Arabidopsis thaliana: one gene and its partners. The protein of the gene in region 1 interacts with the protein of each later gene in a pairwise test. Each region holds a gene or a part of one and is shown in the gene's direction. Other genes may lie near its edges. The genes, in order: ETT, OFP4 and AT5G41650.

Region 1 (7,991 bases):
CATTTGTAATCATGTCTCACCTAGTTTATAAGTATCTTCTTGATACTGTTGAACTAATGGTGTTTGTTATCACCATAATAAGTAGTCTATTATTTTATAGTAATATTGATAAAATTTAAATGTACACAATGCTATAGTTGAAATATGCAATTCGTTTTGATAGAACAATTCGTAACAAACTAAACTAAACAATGTTAACAAAAAAAATAGTGATGAATGAATAACAAACATACATCAACAAAATAAGGAAAAATAGCAAACATCATTTTCTTTTCTTACTATATCAAGTGATAGAATCATTTTTCCCCTAAAGTCAATAAAATTAACGTAGAAACTTTTCTTCAATTGTTTATAAACATTAATAGAAATGTGTTATTCGTTTCAAACTTGTCTTTAAAACTATGTGTCGCGCATGTTCAACTCCAAGTACAACACCGATCACATGTGTGTCATTCATAATCCTTTTTTGTTTCAAATGAAAAAATGAAAAGTAGCTTGTTGATACAACTTGATAGTATTTGATAGTTTTATAAATCACAATCTCAAAAATAAATATTGGGAGGAGGAAAAATTGTGTTGAACCCTCGAATGAATAAAAAAACGAAAGCGAAGCATTGAATGAAAGTGGGGCTAAGTTCTACTGCAAAGAGAGTGAGAGAGAGAGAAAAAAGTAGAAGAAGAAGAAGTAAGTGAACAGTGTCTGAAACGGGTAAAAAGAAGACCAAAGAAGAGCAAAGAGAGTGTGAAGAATACGCGCAATGGGAAGAGCGTGAGGCTCGAGAGACTTTCCAAAAGAAGATAGGAAACAGATGTCGGGGCATTAACCAATTGGGTATTTGGATTTGTAACCCGTTTTGTCCGGGTCCTGCCCCAATCTCTAAACCACTTTTGTTGTTGTTGTTGTTGTTGTTGTTGTTGTTGTGCCTCTCTCTTCTATAGCTGTATCTATCTACATCTACACTGTCTCGCGTGTTCATCAAAATTTAATAAGCAAAAACATATTTCTTTTTTATTTATAGAGAAAAAAAAAATTTGAAAGAAAGAAAGAAAAAAGTCCCCCCTGATCCTCGGGTTCTTTGTAATTTATGACACTCCCAATTTAAGACCTTCTTCTCACTTTTTCTCTATTTGTCCTTTTTTTTGCAGATTCTTTTTATCTTACATTTCTACCCTTGCATGTTTCTTGTATTTACTTGTACTTTCATTGTTCTCTTGTTTGCTACATTGTGCTTGTTGTTGAGATGAGATTCATTCTCACAACAATCGGCAATGAAAGAAAATGTTGGGTACTTTTCATGTTTGCTTTGGTTTGTGTTTAACTCTCTATACATATGTACAACAATGTTTTGTAGGAAAAAGAGAAGATATTCAAATTGTGGTTTGATAGTAAGTATTATTAGTAAAAGAAGTTGATTAGTATTTTTAGATTTAAAACGGTATAAGAATATCACTTAGCAGAGACAATAGATAAGATATTTGCATGTTTGATATATGAAGCTAAAAAGTAAAAGAAAAGAAAAACATTTCAAATCTCTCGTTTACTTTGATGCCGTTGGAAAAATCAACGTACACTGCACTTAAATTCAATATGTTACATAAATAGTCTTATTTATGAAAAGATTAAATTTATTATCAAGAGATTTAATGTACACAAACCATAGTTATATACAATAAAAAACATTTCCGAACTTTATTAGTATGTGGGAAAAAAATAAACTTATGAGTTGCGAAATATCTAACACAACTCAAGGATAAACATTGTAATTTCTTTCATATAGCATCATCACTAGTTCAAGTGTAAATCGATCTAATTTTGCATAGAACTGAAAGGAGTGAACAATGTACTAGGTAAAGAAGAACAATGTTTTTGTTTGCATGTGTATTAAGCTCTAATTTAATTCAAAGTGTGATATACTGATATGATTAGGCTAGTTCCTCATCTGGGTAGACATAATTATAAGAATTTTCGAAACCTCATCTTACCAAAAACATATATAATCTCTACCATTTGTTTCTCTCAATATGCCCTACCATTAATGGACCCTACTTTGTACTTATGCAATAATTCTTCCTGTTTTTACAATAGCCATTAGGTAGGTTTCTTTAGAAATTCGGATGACTTGTGTATCCATCAATTTATTCGCCGTTGATAACAGGTTCATGCACAAATTTCTTAAGATTGTTTCTTCTTGCCTTAACTTTATTTTTTTATCAAAAAAAATTAGATCTAGCTCACAAATCAAATTTGTCACAAGATACGAAGTTATTTGTTTCAAATTTAGTCCTCGTTAGTCATTTAATGTGGTTTTGTTATTTTGAATCGTTTGGTTAGAGGAAAATAAAATGTTATTTCAAATCAAATCCAAATTTGGACACATTGGCAACAAAATGTGTTAACTTTCACTTGATGATGGTATCAAGTCATTCCAACCATTGGTTTAAAAATGATGACAAATTTAGTAAGCAAATGTGTTTCTTCTTCATAAAAAAATACAACAAGAAGTGAGGAAGAAACAATGTGGTCGACTATGATTAATGTGATCTATTGGGAACAATGTGATTAGGCGATGATGAATAGGTCGTATTAAATCGTTTACTAAAATGATAGATCAATAACATTAGCACAAACCAATATATATATATATACTAATGCATGATCTTCTAAAATATTTTTAAAATCCATCTAACTAGTTCCGAATTCGAATAACAGCAATAAACACTGATTATTTATCACAAAGGTGTAATTTTAATCAGAAAAATATACAACCCTTTTCACCATATACTAAACTACTGAAAATCAAAGGCATGAAAGAAAACTATCCCCCAATGTACTTTAGAATATAACGGTAGTCCAAATCTTCGCCACAAAACACAAAACCACATGAACTAGTCATATAATAATGGATAAATGATTTAAACTATTTCACTAATAATGTGCATCAATCCCTAAAAGTATGCCACCAGTATTCTTTTATTTCTCCCACAATAATATCAATAAAAATGATTCAAAGACAAAGAGACAACAGAGACGAAATTATTCTTTTGTAGATCTTATTATATATAAATGATTAACTAAAAACCATATACTTGTAACAATAATTATTATATCAGTACTAAAATCCAATAGTATCAACATTGCAAAGAAACTGTTGTGTAAAAGATAATAATAATATAAAGAGAAAGCAAAGAAATCAATCTATTTCAAAAATCTAATCCCATCTAATGTCTCTCTCTCCACGCACAAAAGGTCTAAAAGCCACACCACACACATCAGTCACCAGACGTAGCAGAGAGCCTCACTGTTGCAGAGAGCACTCAGTACTGTTCTGTTTCTCTGATACCTCTCTCTCTCCTCTCTCTTTTAACATTGTCCAAATTAAAAATCTAAACTTTTTTTCTAGTTTTTTTTTTTTCTTTAATAGAAAAGTTTTTTTTCTCCACGGCTTAAAGACTCACTCATCACTGTGCTACTACTCTCTCTTCTTTTGGCTGAGAGGGTAAAAGTCATGAAGAAACTCCTCTGAGTTTTTTTTCTTTCTTTCTTATAATAAAGCTCTTATCTTTATCTCTGTTTCTCTCTCTTTAATGGGTGGTTTAATCGATCTGAACGTGATGGAGACGGAGGAAGACGAAACGCAAACGCAAACACCGTCTTCAGCTTCTGGGTCTGTCTCTCCTACTTCGTCTTCTTCAGCTTCTGTGTCTGTGGTGTCTTCGAATTCTGCTGGTGGAGGGGTTTGTTTGGAGCTGTGGCATGCTTGTGCTGGACCCCTTATCTCTCTACCAAAAAGAGGAAGCCTTGTGTTGTATTTCCCTCAGGGACATTTGGAACAAGCCCCCGATTTCTCCGCCGCGATTTACGGGCTCCCTCCTCACGTGTTCTGTCGTATTCTCGATGTTAAGCTTCACGTATGTAACTAACTCTCTCTTTCTTTCTATTTTTTGTTTTGTTTTGTTTTCTTCATTTATGTTTTCTCCTCTGCTCTCAAAGCAGAGAGATATGGGTTTTGTTCTGTTTTTCTGATTCTTTGATTTTTTTAATTGTTTGTTTGGTGAATCTGAGTTGGGTTTTCGATACAAGTATGGAGATTTGTGCCTTTGGTTTATTGAATTGTTTGAGACAAACGAATTTATGTTGGGAGAAAAGTTTCCTCTTTTGCTCCATTTGCATTTCTTCTCGTGGCATTTTGATGACGAATACTTGAAATCCCCATAAATTATCTTCAGTTTTTTCTTTGATGATAATGAATTTGATTTCAAAGTTTCGCCTTTTGCTCCATTTTGATGACAATTGATTTCAGAACAATTCAATTCTCTGTAAAGGTTTAAACTTTTTTTGTTGTTGTGAGGATTAATAAACAAAATGTGGGGGATTTTGATTTCGTAGGCAGAGACGACTACAGATGAAGTTTATGCTCAAGTCTCTCTTCTTCCTGAGTCAGAGGTGAGTTTTTCTTTAGGCTCTTGAGTTTTGTAACAAAGAGAGAGAAATTTGCTCGAGCTTAGGGGGTTTGAGTTGATTTGTTACAGGACATTGAGAGGAAGGTGCGTGAAGGAATTATAGATGTTGATGGTGGAGAGGAAGATTATGAAGTGCTTAAGAGGTCTAATACTCCTCACATGTTTTGCAAAACCCTTACTGCTTCTGATACAAGCACCCATGGTGGTTTCTCTGTTCCTCGCCGAGCTGCTGAGGATTGCTTCCCTCCTCTGGTACTAATCCACTCTCTGTAGATTCTGTAATCAGCTTTGTACATTGCACATTGTGTTCTAGAGTTCTCTTATTAGCTCATATTGAGAGATTTTAACTACATAATCATTTTGTTATGTAGGACTATAGCCAGCCCCGGCCTTCTCAGGAGCTTCTTGCTAGGGATCTTCATGGCCTGGAGTGGCGATTTCGCCACATTTATCGAGGTAAGTTTGTTGCCTTATGTTGCAATTTTTCTTGCCTGGATTTAGTAGATGGAAAATTTGAATGGTTTGAGTGACTTTTAGGGCAACCTAGGAGGCATTTGCTCACTACCGGGTGGAGTGCGTTTGTGAACAAGAAGAAGCTTGTCTCTGGTGATGCTGTGCTTTTCCTTAGGTAGTTAAAAATGCTTCTATGTTTTCTCACTACACAACCTCTTTGATTTTCTGTAAGAGGTTTTGTGATATATGGGTTTCTCTGATACAGAGGAGATGATGGCAAACTGCGACTGGGAGTTAGAAGAGCTTCTCAAATCGAAGGCACCGCTGCTCTCTCGGCTCAATATAATCAGAATATGAACCACAACAATTTCTCTGAAGTAGCTCATGCCATATCGACCCATAGCGTTTTCAGCATTTCCTACAACCCCAAGTAAGCCCCAACCACAATGACCTTTTTTCGTTTTCAGCATTTAAAATTTCATTTCAGAATCATAATTAGAATCTCCTGAAGCCTTAAGTTGTGTATTGTTCTAGTTGATTGTTCCTTAGAAGTTTGTTAACTCCAATAAATATCAGGAATTTAGCATTAATACTAGTTCACTGGTAAAACATTTTCAGGGCAAGCTGGTCAAACTTCATAATCCCTGCACCAAAGTTCTTGAAGGTTGTTGACTATCCCTTTTGCATTGGGATGAGATTTAAAGCGAGGGTTGAATCTGAAGATGCATCTGAGAGAAGGTTACTTATAGACTTATAATTCAAGCTTTAAGATAACCTTGCACACCTGTGTTTTATATGCCCAACTTTCTAACATGTTTCACCTGTTTTGTCAGATCCCCTGGGATTATAAGTGGTATCAGCGACTTGGATCCAATCAGGTGGCCTGGTTCAAAATGGAGATGCCTTTTGGTAAGCTATGAATTATGTTCTTAAGTCATTAGTTTGGTCTGAGAGGTCTTCTATAAGATTGTTGCCTTTTCTATATCCGTAAGCTCACTGCTCTGAAACTATGTTTTGACGTCATATTCAGGTAAGGTGGGACGACATTGTGGCAAATGGGCATCAACAGCGTGTCTCGCCATGGGAGATCGAACCATCTGGTTCCATCTCCAATTCAGGCAGCTTCGTAACAACTGGTCCCAAGAGAAGCAGGATTGGCTTTTCCTCAGGAAAGCCTGATATCCCTGTCTCTGGTACACATCTACTTAGCCAAAGACATTGTACCACTCATATAACCATTTATCGCCTGTAATATAACGTTTTCTGCTATTATTGCAGAGGGGATTCGCGCCACAGACTTTGAGGAATCATTGAGATTCCAGAGGGTCTTGCAAGGTCAAGAAATTTTTCCGGGTTTTATCAACACTTGTTCGGATGGTGGAGCCGGTGCCAGGAGAGGCCGCTTCAAAGGAACAGAATTTGGTGACTCTTATGGTTTCCATAAGGTCTTGCAAGGTCAAGAAACAGTTCCCGCCTACTCAATAACCGATCATCGGCAGCAGCACGGGTTGAGCCAGAGGAACATTTGGTGTGGGCCGTTCCAGAACTTTAGTACACGTATCCTCCCCCCATCTGTATCATCATCACCCTCTTCCGTCTTGCTTACCAACTCGAACAGTCCTAACGGACGTCTGGAAGACCATCACGGAGGTTCAGGCAGATGCAGGCTGTTTGGTTTCCCATTAACCGACGAAACCACAGCAGTTGCATCTGCGACGGCTGTCCCCTGCGTTGAAGGGAATTCCATGAAAGGTGCGTCAGCTGTTCAAAGCAATCATCATCATTCGCAAGGAAGGGACATCTATGCAATGAGAGACATGTTGCTAGACATTGCTCTCTAGAAGGGTTCTTTGGTTTCTGTGTTTTATTTGCTTGTGGCTTAAGTAAAGTTCTTATTTTAGTTGATGATGACTTGCTGCTAACTTTTGGAATGTCACAAGTTGTGACTTATGAGAGACTTGTAAACTTGGTTCAAGAATGTTCTGTGTTAGGTTCAATTTAAAAAGTGTTTGCATCAATTCCGGTTATTTGTGTTTGTACCAACCGGTTCAATTCGTAATTCTAATTTAACCGGAAGGAGTCCGATATCGTTATCTCTCTCTGTGCCACTCAAAGAAAACGTAATCCAAGCCAATGGAGGAGACGACATGGGGACAGAGAATACAAGCGGTGACACATATCCTCACAAACCCAACAACGAAACCATCACTTTACTCTCAATTCTTCATCGGAGCCATAATTCCAAACTACGTATCGTGGGATTACCCTCCGGTCTATTCGCCGACGCATCTCCGTCAATGGTGGGTTTCTCAGTTCTTCAAAAGGGTATCGAGATTTGGGCTGCCTGATACATCGTGGAGGTCGAATAGCCCGTATTATCAGCCACCGGCGGCGGTTATGGCTGTCGGAGTTGAGGAAGGGAAATGGGGGAAAGAGGAGAGGAGAGAGTATGCGAGGAAGAGGCTGAGGAGGAAGAGATTGGTGAATGAAGTGAATCCATATATTCCTCTTTTAGTTCCGAATTTGCTTTTGTTTACTCTCTTGTTATGGGATCCTCTTCCTGAGTAAATTTATGGTGGTGAATCTGTTACAGATTATCTGTAAGTTATTGAATTTGTTGTAAACAAGATCTGTGTGTTTTGTAATGAAGAAGACGAAGAGACATAGACTCAATACTCTCTCGTTTGGATTTAGTGTAATAAAAAAACCGGCCGTATCGAACCGGTAATATGTATGGTTTTTTATTTTGTTCGGTTTGGTTTCAAGGGACTTGGTTTGACTTGATCCGGTTTGGTTTCAAGGGTCTTCTATTCTTCCGTTTGGATGTAAGTAGCATCCATCATTCATAGGGTCACATTTATGAAACCCAACAAGTTTTTTGGGATTTGATTTCTTTGTCTTGCTTAAAACTTGAAAATGTTCAGTAGTGATGATTGTCAATTTGTTACAAACAAAAATAATAAAGGACTTTGAATAGTGGTAGTAGTACTAGTATCTTGAGCAGAATAGTATGTTGTAGACTGGTGCTATTTTATTGGAGGAATGGATTAATATTTCTTTTGGATTATATAGGATTA
Region 2 (5,305 bases), on another chromosome or scaffold:
GGCTCTGCTTCTTGGAAGCCACTGAGAGTATTATCCTGTTCCAGATCATCTGATCCAATTATAACTTCCAAGACACTTGGTCGATCCTACCCCTAGAACTCTGTTTTGTGAGTGATTGTTTGATTTCTCTACTCATATCTTTTATTTTAGTATTAGAAAACATATTTCTAACATTTTAATTATATAAGTTATAGTTATAACATTTAATTAATATTTCATTCTCAACGTACGTTACAAAGTTACAAAACTACATTTAAGAAATAGCATAATTAGTAAGAAGATCACAATACTAGCTTTCTTGCTACATGAAGTTAGGCTGCTACTCAGTTTCGGTCCTGTAAAATCAAGGTCCAAATACGAAAAAAAAATCTGAATCTTTTTAAAAAATTTAAACTTGCAAAAATCTTTTTTTTCTTCTCATAATTATGAAAATTATTTAAAGAGTTTTCAGAAAGTAAAAATAATATATCCGAGACATGCAATCCTATTAGACTTTGAAAGAGTTTTTTCAATGACATTGTATGATGTAAAAAATACTAACATAAACGATCACTACACACAAGAAAAAAAACTTTAAAAAATACACTAGAATTGGTGCACGGGAAAGGCCGATTGAAAATAATCTAGGCCCATTAAAGCGAAGCCCATTCTCAACCCTATATATTTGCGGGGTTGATATTTAATTTTATCTTTCAATCAGGGATTTCGAAACCGAACCGACTCTGCTTATCTCTCAGGTAAATTTCTCTGCTCCTTATCTCTTCATGTTTCTTTGCAAATTCATCGACTAATTGCATAGATAGCCTACAACTTATATATATATATATATTCTGAATTTGTTTTTTTCTTTTCTTACCTTTAAGGCCTTGAATGATGGAGGGAGGCAGCTGTGGCCACAATATCGGTCTATTGGGAGATAAAGGGGTGTCCGGTTCCGGATGGCTATGATGCTCTTCGGGTAGGTCCGTCTATAAAACGTAATTTGAGGAAGTTTAACTACACTGGCCCTATCACCATCACTGCCGTTGGCGTACTATCAGAGGTCCCTCGAGATTTCCTTGAAACCACTGGAGAGTGGAGTCAGTCTCTTTCTCAAGTCTTAGTTGTTTCTGAAACAGGTCCCACATACATGGTTTCGCTTTTCATTGACTCCCCTGATTCTAAGATTCCACGTCCACATAATACCTATGAAGACGACGAGGCTCCCCCTTGATTATTTTCCGGAGAAATAATGCCTACTACCATTGGTGAGGGAAGAAGCAACCAAACCTTGAGATTTCTCATCTTTTGAATTCTGGGGTTTACCGGAAATCTTGGTAAATAGAAATGTGAAATGTACCATCCTTTAATAATCTTTTCTTATTATCTTTTATTTCCGTGATTTAATGTAGTAAAATCAAGTTCCTGTCACTTGAAGTTGTACAACTTACAAAAAAAAAACAGAACACAGAGAAAGCTACTCTGTATCCAATGCTCTGTGTTATCATGCATATATTATAAAACCCATTTCAATGATCTTTAATCGTCATGGTCGCTTGGAAACAGGTCAGTGCAGAGCTCTCCATAGAATCTAGTCACAAGATCAATGAAGATTGGACTATTAAGATTCTTCCAATAATAGAGAAGCTCTTCCATGTCCATCAAGTCATCTATTTTCCCATCTTCAACGAACATATGGATCATATAGTTCTCGAATCTTCTGCAAGCCTCTTTCACACCATCTTCCTTTAACATATGTCTTTGACTCGTCCTCGCTTTCTTGTTCCTTTGCGTCATAGCCAAAGGAAACATCTTTCTTGAATGCAGAAGCTTGGAATCATCGATCAGACTAGCTGCAGTGGCATATTTGTAGAATAAAATTTAGATCAAAGGTACTCTATAAAATCGACAATAGTTACAAAAGAAATTGTTGTTACACGGGGAATTTCTGGGTCTGATCTGGCTCATCCTCTGCTCCTTATTAGTATTGAGAAAACAGAGACGAGACAACAAAGAAGATGATGAAGATTGTGTGGTATTGACATTGCGAAAACGAGCATGGAAGAAGGAGATGAATCTGTTGCATGATTTTGAAAGCTTTGATTTCAAGCTAATCAAACTTGACTTCAGTCTCATTCTCGATCCTTCCGAAGCTGATTTATTCTTTGTTGTTGTTGTTGTGGTATAATGTGTAGGTTTGGGAGGGTGGTTCGAGTTACGTGGGTTTCACGTCTTTTCCTTTGACACGAAGTCGTGATGGTGGAGTCCCATGAACTTGAGCCTTAATTTGAATGTTTTTTGCAAATTTAATTTTAAGCTATAATCTGACCTAGATATTGTCACATTATGAGTAGGAGGAGTGGGTAAATATATCGGTGTTTACTGGGATCAGTAGTAGTCGTTAGGGTTGTGACTGACCCCGCTCGTTTGTCGAACCCTAGCTTCAAATATGAGTCGTTGACCCAAAAAAAAAAAGCTTTGGTCAAACACACACGTGTGAGGTAGGGAGACCACAAGCTAATTGGTGAAAAGGAGACGACACGCCGAGTTTTATGCAAATATGTCTTTTATTATTCTCTACAGTTTCTTCTACACCATTATTGTTATATACTATGACTATGGCTATATTAAGAGATTGGACATGAACCTGAAATCTTGTTTAACCTCTTTTGTTGAAACCCTTTGTCACGTTCGCCGAATTATGTTTTGGAAGCAATTTACCAGAAATATTCTATTTAGTCTAATTGATACCCACCAATCGACCTACTACCGACAGACAATTTTTGAGGACACTTTGTTGCTCAATTTTCAAGTCTAATAAAACCTTTTAATTCTCAATCTCATCTACGTACACCTCAATTATTTCGATTACACCGGTTTAGATAGGATATTTTATTTAAATTTGATTTGATTTGGTTTAACTTGGTTATTCGGTTAGGGAGAGAAGCCGGAATGAGTTTGGTACAAACAAAGACATTCTATGAAGTGGATCCCAATTTTGTTCCGTCTTGTCCCTTTTACATCCCAATTCTACACTTTCTTCTCTCTTTTATTTGTCACATAGAAACTCTGCAAACTATACATATTTTTTTTCTCTCTTTTATCTGAGAAGATCACTTATTTTTTGAAATTAGAGATGAGGAACTATAAGTTAAGATTGTCAGTTATGAGCCCAAGTGAATGGTTCCACAAGCTCAAGAACATGACAAAACCTAGAAAAAAGCATTCTCTTCCTCTTTACTCCATAAACACTACCAAGAAGAGAAAACCTTCCTCTGAGTCAAAGTCTCTTCCTTACTCTTCAACTTCTTACTTCTTCAATAGGTCACGCTCACGCACATCCTTTGAATCTAGGATCCTTCAAATTTCACCAAGAAACTCTCTTCACAACATACAGAGCAAAAGAAAGACTGTTTACAAGCCTTCTCCTCCTTCCTCTTCTATTGTATCTGCAGGTTTTAACAAAACATTTCATCAAAGCCATGATTCTCTCTCTGCCTCTTCCAACTTGAAAGTCATTTCTTCTGAAGATGATATTATCATCGACATGAATAATAGAGATTTCAAGAAGAAAACTTTCAAAGAGATCACGAAGTTTGATTCAACGGAGAAAGCCTGTCGTGCAAGTAACCGAACCAAGGAAACACATATACCTCATCATCTCTCTGTGAAGGTCAGTAAAGAGAAAGAAGATGAAGAGGAAGATGCATGTCGAACCAAGAAGAAACATCAGAAAACATTAGTTTCTAGTGGAAGAAGATCATCAGCTAAATCTCCAAGGATAAAGCTCAGAGCGAGATCTCCTAGAATTCAAGTCTCGCCTCGTAGAAGCAAATCAAGATCACAGAACAAACAAATTCTTGACAGTTTTGCAGTAATCAAGAGTTCTATCGATCCGAGCAAGGATTTCAGAGAATCAATGGTGGAGATGATAGCAGAGAACAACATCAGAACCTCTAACGACATGGAGGATCTTCTAGTATGTTACCTTACCTTGAATCCCAAGGAGTATCATGATCTCATTATCAAGGTTTTCGTTCAAGTCTGGCTTGAAGTCATAAACTCTACATTTGCATCGAAGTAGAATGAACTATGATCAAAAGCTTTAAATCTCTGGTTAATTGTAGTTCTTTTAAAGAGTTTGATGTAGCCGTGGAGATTTTCTTTGCAAGACCAGTTTTTGTGTTGTCTGAATAACGTGATAAAGACATATAAATCACTCGCTTCCTTTTCGTCTCTGGTTATGGTTTGTGAAGGTAATAGAACATACTTATTCAGTAATTTAAAAATCAGTAACTAAAACATACTTATTCAATACATGCCTCATGGATGATAATAATTCAATTTTAGAATTAAAATGTGAAACAGTATGTGCTGCTAAATGTTTATGTGATATTTTCAGAAACAATATACAAATCCAAAGAGTTTTATTATATTAGTTTCATGTAGTGATAAACCTTGGATTAGATTAGGATTGATGGAGTTTAGTCATGGTAACGACTTATGTAACAAGAGCGAAAATGTCAAAAGAAAAAAAAAAGAGTCAAGAAAAGGCCAAAAGTGTAGTGACAAGAAGCCACACGGAGACAAGTCAGAAACCCATCAAGTACGGAGTAGAAATGGGTTCCAGTCCTAATGAGTAATGAAGCAGGAAACATGAAAATGGAGCCTGAATAACATAAATCGCTAGAGAGAGAAACTAACACTGACACAGAAGAGTATATGGTTAAAGAGGAAAAGCAGAGAGAGAGTTTTAAGAACCTAAAGGCTCTTTGTTGTCGTGATGAAGAAGATGAGGACCACTGTTTTGCTGCTGCTTCCCAATGCCCATCTCCTCTACCATCTATTTATACTGGTAGTACTTAGTACGGTATGGACAGACATTTCTTGGGAATTGATCAAACCACAAAACATAAACATTAAATGATGAAACACCAAACTCGATTTTGATATATAGTGCACGGGAAAGGCCGGTTTAATACAAACTGTAGGCCCATTAAAGCGAAGCCCCATTATCAACGCTATATATTTGAGGCGTTGTGATTCTTATTCTTCTCTTTCAAACAAGGATTTCGAAACCCTAATCGATATTGAGGTCAAGATTCAAACAACTCTGCTTATCTCTGAGGTAAATTTTTCGAAACCCTAATCGATATCGACTCATTGCGTAAATGAAACACCAAGACAGTAGAAAACGTAATAGAAAATAATATGAAACCGAAATGAACTGCTCGTCTACATTTGACTAAGGAACCTAGTTTACTTAACAAAACCATTCACTAGACAATCATCGTCGTACGCTATTCTATGGGTCTTAAAGACAAAA
Region 3 (4,917 bases), on another chromosome or scaffold:
AAAATTAGCACTTGCTTACTGTTCTCTTCTTGAAATAGGATCACAGCTTTTGTTGATGATAATGAGTTAACGTTGCTATAAATTAAGCATTATGAGCATAAAATTTATTTGTACGTCAAAGGTTATAAACCATTCTCGAGCATTGTTTTTACCTAACACTGATCTAATCTTAGCTTTTGTATGCAATATATAAGATGCCACAAAGAAGCCTAATATATTAACACTAGGGAAGCCCATCTAAGCACATGTTATGAGGTTTTGTAGTAAGAGGTCTCATATATATATGATGTAAGTCATGTATGAATGTAACCAAGGTTGCTTCTTTGAGCAGCCACATTCAACCTTTAATGAAACATAATCGAAATCTATTTTTCCCTTAAAGAAAAGTCTCAAGCTTTCACCTTTCTCTGTTCTTTACATTCCAATAAAGCTCATCAATTAGCTATTTCAAATTTTATCTAAATAATCTCATTTGAGCAGAATCTATCTTATTTTGGATTAGTCAACACCATGCGCCACCTGGCTCAGGCTTGGCCCAGATGCCAAGGAACATAAGCAAGTGATAAAGGTCTCAAATTTTGAGGGCCTTTTCTAGTAAAAAACTATGTTAAACTTTCATATATGTTTAGGGTTTTTAAAAAATTGTGGCCATATATGAATAAAACAAAGATTTTGAGGTTAATTATTAGTTTTGAATTTCAATTTGTTGTTGTTTTACTTTTTTATTTGGAAATTTGAAAAGAAGAAAAAAAGTTGCAAATGCAATGATTAGTTAAATTTGAAATTTTAAATCGCTAGATCGTTAGCGACTTTTTCTTTAGCTACTTAGCTTTGTTAAACTATGAAAACAAACATCTTCATCCAACATGTTGGCTTTGATTTGTGTTAAACAATAATCACACAATTTCATATAATCTAATTTTAACATTTTATATTCACGAACACAAAACACTTGCTATCATACTTTTTGCTTTGGCTTGCTGTTAAAATATTGTCAAAGCAACATTTTTTTGTAGTTCTTTTCCATTGTTTTAGAATTTTTAAACCGTTATTTAAAGGTTAGTACTTAGTAGATTTTATTTTTATTACTAAGTATGTTTCTGGAATATATGAAAAGGACATGTCATTAAGTTTTTGCGTAGGACACTCGTAAATGTCGGACCAGACCCAAATCGGATTTGATAACCTTATTTCGACCCTCGACAATGAAGCGTCCATTATGCTCATTGAAGCTTCGTTTAACAATAGCTTTGCGATCAACATCCTTACCAACCGAGACTCATAAAAGTCCTTGTACACTATGTAGACAATCACATTAATGACATTGAGTGATACCTCATTAGGTGGCTCCACATCTTCACTACTTTCAAAAATTTTCAAGTCGGAGAGATCATGATATTTACCATTGCTCCTATGAGTTGTGGCAACTGCAACTTCCAAATATAGAAGAATCCAGTCATTGACTTGCAGCTTTGATTCCTCCACCACGTAAAATCGCTTTCTATTTTCGAAAATATCCTCCGAGGGACACTTAAGCAAATCACCTTTGACGTAGAAATAGCATTCAGTTATCAAAGCTCCATCCTAAGTGATTTTTCCTCGAGGTCTAGCAATAGGGAATTTCAAAATAAACTTGCCAAAACGTTCTTCATCAACTTTAGTTTGAAAATTCAAAAGTTTGCTGCGAGCTGGATCCATAGCAACCAAAGTTATGTAGTAATTACAAGCAGCATAATGCGTACTCATATTGTATTTCTTTACACGACTAAGCTGTAAATTCTTCCCATGATGATCAAACAAAAAAAAATGAATTGTGGTGCAATACAACAATTGACAAACAAAAAAGAGATCGAGAAGAAGAGTATTGACTTAGAATTACCTTCAACAAATTGTAACGATGAAGACCCATCCTAGCATAAAGGCGGACTAAGGTACAACAAGGTGACCACCTTTTATCACAGATGGATTTTTGAAGTTCAGGACCATCACTCGCTTCTGTAGTATCGAACCCCTAAGATATTCATTTAAGTTATCATTAATCTCTATCTGGTAACCGATTTAAAAACAAATCTCTTAATTATATAAGAAGCTAAGAAGATTACCTTGTATTTCTTCACTCATTTCGTAAAATTTTGACTTATGACGAAAATTATTATTCAAAGCCTCTTTGTTTCAATTGGCAGCGACATCGTCCTCTCCCTCATAAAGCTTGTGTATATGTGTCGTTCCGAAATAAGGAACCCTAGAAGTTTAAGAATTATGGTCAATTTTATTAGATTACGTCCCCAAATTCATCCCTTTGTGTTTTACCTTTTCGCTTTTGAGCCATAACAACATCGTCTGAACCAAGCGGCTCATGCTTTTGTTCCACACAATCAATTTAGGATTGTCCACTCTATTATCTAATCCAGTCCACTGATTTATGGGTTTTATTTGGGCCTTAACAACCCAAAAATTCTCTTTCCTTTTTTTCAAATAAACCAATAGCTATCTCATATCTGGTTTATATTGCAGAGAGTGCGACACGGTACCATTTAGAGGTGAGCCCGAAAGAAGCCCAATAATGTGTATTGGGCCAATCTTTTTTTTGTTTTTGTTTTTGTTTTTTGGGTCAAATGGCCAATCTTTTTTTTGTATTGTGTTTTATTTTACACTCGTTCGTCTTCGTCTAGAGAGAGATGGCGACGGCGTCGTTTAGGTGGATTCTGCAGCTTCACAGAGACGTACCAAAAGCTGCTCGATTCTATGCTCAAGGTCTCGACTTTTCCGTCAATGTCGTCACTTTACGCTGGGCTGAGCTCCATTCTGGTCCTATCAAGCTAGCTCTTATGCAATCTCCTAGGTTTTATCTCCTCTTTTGTTCCATTATTGCTCAAAGCACACAACCTGTTTGATCATTTGCCTCAATGAAAACTTTCTGAGTTTATTCCCTTAAAATAACTTCCGGATTTGGACTTTTGTGTTACACTGTTTATCGCTGAGAAGACCTCTCAAAGACTTTCTTTTTTCCGCAGCAATCATGTTGCTGAGAAGGGATACTCATCGCTTCTATCGTTCACAGTCACTGACATTAATACAACAGTGACTAAACTTATGGCTTTAGGAGCTGAATTAGATGGCACTATCAAGTATGAGATACATGGAAAGGTTACAATTTCTTATGAAGATGTTCAAGTTTCATTTCATACTTACTTGCTGAAATGGGATTTGAAGTATTTTTGCGGTTGTTTTTTTGTTTTACTAGGTTGCGGCTATGAAATGCCCTGATGGTTACATGTTAGGCCTTTATGAGGCTGCATGAGCAAATGAATAGAATTGAAGCCTGAAAGGAAGCCAATTATGCATAGAGTAGATTTGTTTAGAGATCATATCCATAATCTCTTTGAAGCTATTGTATACTTCTTAGAAACCTAAGCCACTATTATACTTTATATTGGTTCATGTTTAACTTGCTCTTCACATTGTTTCTCTAGTAAGCTTTTCTCAAGTCAATTTTTTTCCATTCATTATATATAATATCCTGAAAGTGACGGATTCATTTCTACACAATGCTTTGAAATTGACAAGATCTATTGAAGTGGACTTAATGGAGTTTTGTTTAGTGCTTTTGTAGTTGTTGAAGGGTTGACTAAATGTTGTTAGGTCAGCATTTTACAAAACTGCCCTCAAGTTTTGGAGCATTACTACTTTAGTCCATGCCTCCATATGGTTTATATTGATTTTTATGAAGTGGGTTGATTTTTCAAAGATCTTGTCAAGATTATGATAAATTGGGGACCATTATGTTTGTAGTTGGTTACAAACAAATACAACAAAAATTATGCACCGAATCCTAAATGTTGGACATTACCAATGCACTTTCATCTAGTGCTTAATTACTTAGAGATATTTTGCAATTTAAAATTCTTTTCCAAGTAAAATCTATTAACTTTCATTGATTAATCTTTGAAATTTCGACATGCAATGCAAGAATGGAATCGCCCCTTTCAAATATGACAAAATACTAGGTGGTCAAATCGTGTAACTTAGTATATTTATACATTTCCTCAAATACTTTCGGGACAGTAAAAATAGTTTTGGAGATAGTTAAATTTGATAGCACTCTAAAATACAAGTATTAAATGGTAGTCTTCACAAAGGTTATATATTTGTTGAAAATTGCGCACTGAATGCATGTTTGATCTCTGCGGGCCAAATAGATGTTAATGATTTGAAAAGTACGGTGAAGATACTGGTGTGGTTCCATCCGAAAATCACTTGATCGGTTAAAAACTAGCGTTTTATATGAAACTTGGTTGAATGTAAACAAAAATCTATATGAAAACAGAAGTTAGAAAACATATTCGAGTTTACACCATGTCGAAAAAGATCAATGCATGGCGTATAGTATATCAGGTTTTAAGCAGGATCTAGTGAAAAGCGAAGTAATTGCGAGATTTTGAAAAACGGAAAAGGTCAAGAGTGTCTATGTTCTACCAAGAAATGATCTCCTCAAGTGAAAGGGATAAAGAGTTTTTATGTGTAGTATCATGTAATCCAAATATACCAGTTCAAACAGTCGTCGACACTCTAGAGATTAACTATATTCTTTTCAATTTATAATCCTTATTCTTATGGAATAAATAACTAAGAGAGGAGGGCTGTGAAGTTTTCTTTTAACTTCATGCTTTTAATTATTTATTGATGCTTTAATGTCAATATCCTCCTAGACACAGTTATCGAGAAGTCTCTCCCGACCATGTTTTCTGGCGCCGGCGGAGGTAAAAATCGCCGGCGTCGGGACGTTGCTACTCTGCCATGTTTCCTCTATTCTCTTGTTACACTCTTTTTGTTTTCAATTCCTTTTTTCCTCTTGCAATCATATTTTAAACCCTTGCGAACCATATCTCTCACGACTTCCAACGGCGAATCAAACTC

What was found.
Region 2: the proteins of ETT (region 1) and OFP4 interact in a two-hybrid assay, tested with the Arabidopsis thaliana proteins (one large-scale study listed by BioGRID).
Region 3: the proteins of ETT (region 1) and AT5G41650 interact in a two-hybrid assay, tested with the Arabidopsis thaliana proteins (one large-scale study listed by BioGRID).

Annotation. Positions count from the first base shown.
Region 1 is NC_003071.7:14,324,208-14,332,198, reverse strand, and holds ETT (Transcriptional factor B3 family protein / auxin-responsive factor AUX/IAA-like protein), read left to right. Parts: upstream 1-3,220; 5' UTR 3,221-3,585; coding exon 3,586-3,909; intron 3,910-3,942; exon of another isoform or gene 3,943-4,387; coding exon 4,388-4,444; intron 4,445-4,530; coding exon 4,531-4,713; intron 4,714-4,832; coding exon 4,833-4,917; intron 4,918-4,998; coding exon 4,999-5,089; intron 5,090-5,179; coding exon 5,180-5,344; intron 5,345-5,532; coding exon 5,533-5,652; intron 5,653-5,747; coding exon 5,748-5,823; intron 5,824-5,944; coding exon 5,945-6,107; intron 6,108-6,192; coding exon 6,193-6,755; 3' UTR 6,756-6,993; downstream 6,994-7,991. Other genes in the region: AT2G33855 (uncharacterized protein), read left to right, coding at 7,048-7,482. UniProt on the Arabidopsis thaliana protein: Auxin response factors (ARFs) are transcriptional factors that bind specifically to the DNA sequence 5'-TGTCTC-3' found in the auxin-responsive promoter elements (AuxREs). Could act as transcriptional activator or repressor.
Region 2 is NC_003070.9:2,123,612-2,128,916, reverse strand, and holds OFP4 (ovate family protein 4), read left to right. Parts: upstream 1-3,014; 5' UTR 3,015-3,115; coding exon 3,116-4,063; 3' UTR 4,064-4,241; downstream 4,242-5,305. Other genes in the region: AT1G06925 (endonuclease/glycosyl hydrolase), read left to right, coding at 306-337, 701-766, 880-1,213; AT1G06923 (transcription repressor OFP17-like protein), read right to left, coding at 1,519-1,832, 1,917-2,115.
Region 3 is NC_003076.8:16,652,278-16,657,194, forward strand, and holds AT5G41650 (Lactoylglutathione lyase / glyoxalase I family protein), read left to right. Parts: upstream 1-2,635; 5' UTR 2,636-2,678; coding exon 2,679-2,842; intron 2,843-3,014; coding exon 3,015-3,147; intron 3,148-3,244; coding exon 3,245-3,301; 3' UTR 3,302-3,583; downstream 3,584-4,917. Other genes in the region: AT5G41640 (hypothetical protein (DUF626)), read right to left, coding at 1,060-1,427, 1,725-1,770, 1,880-2,011, 2,311-2,358; AT5G41660 (uncharacterized protein), read left to right, coding at 4,739-4,917.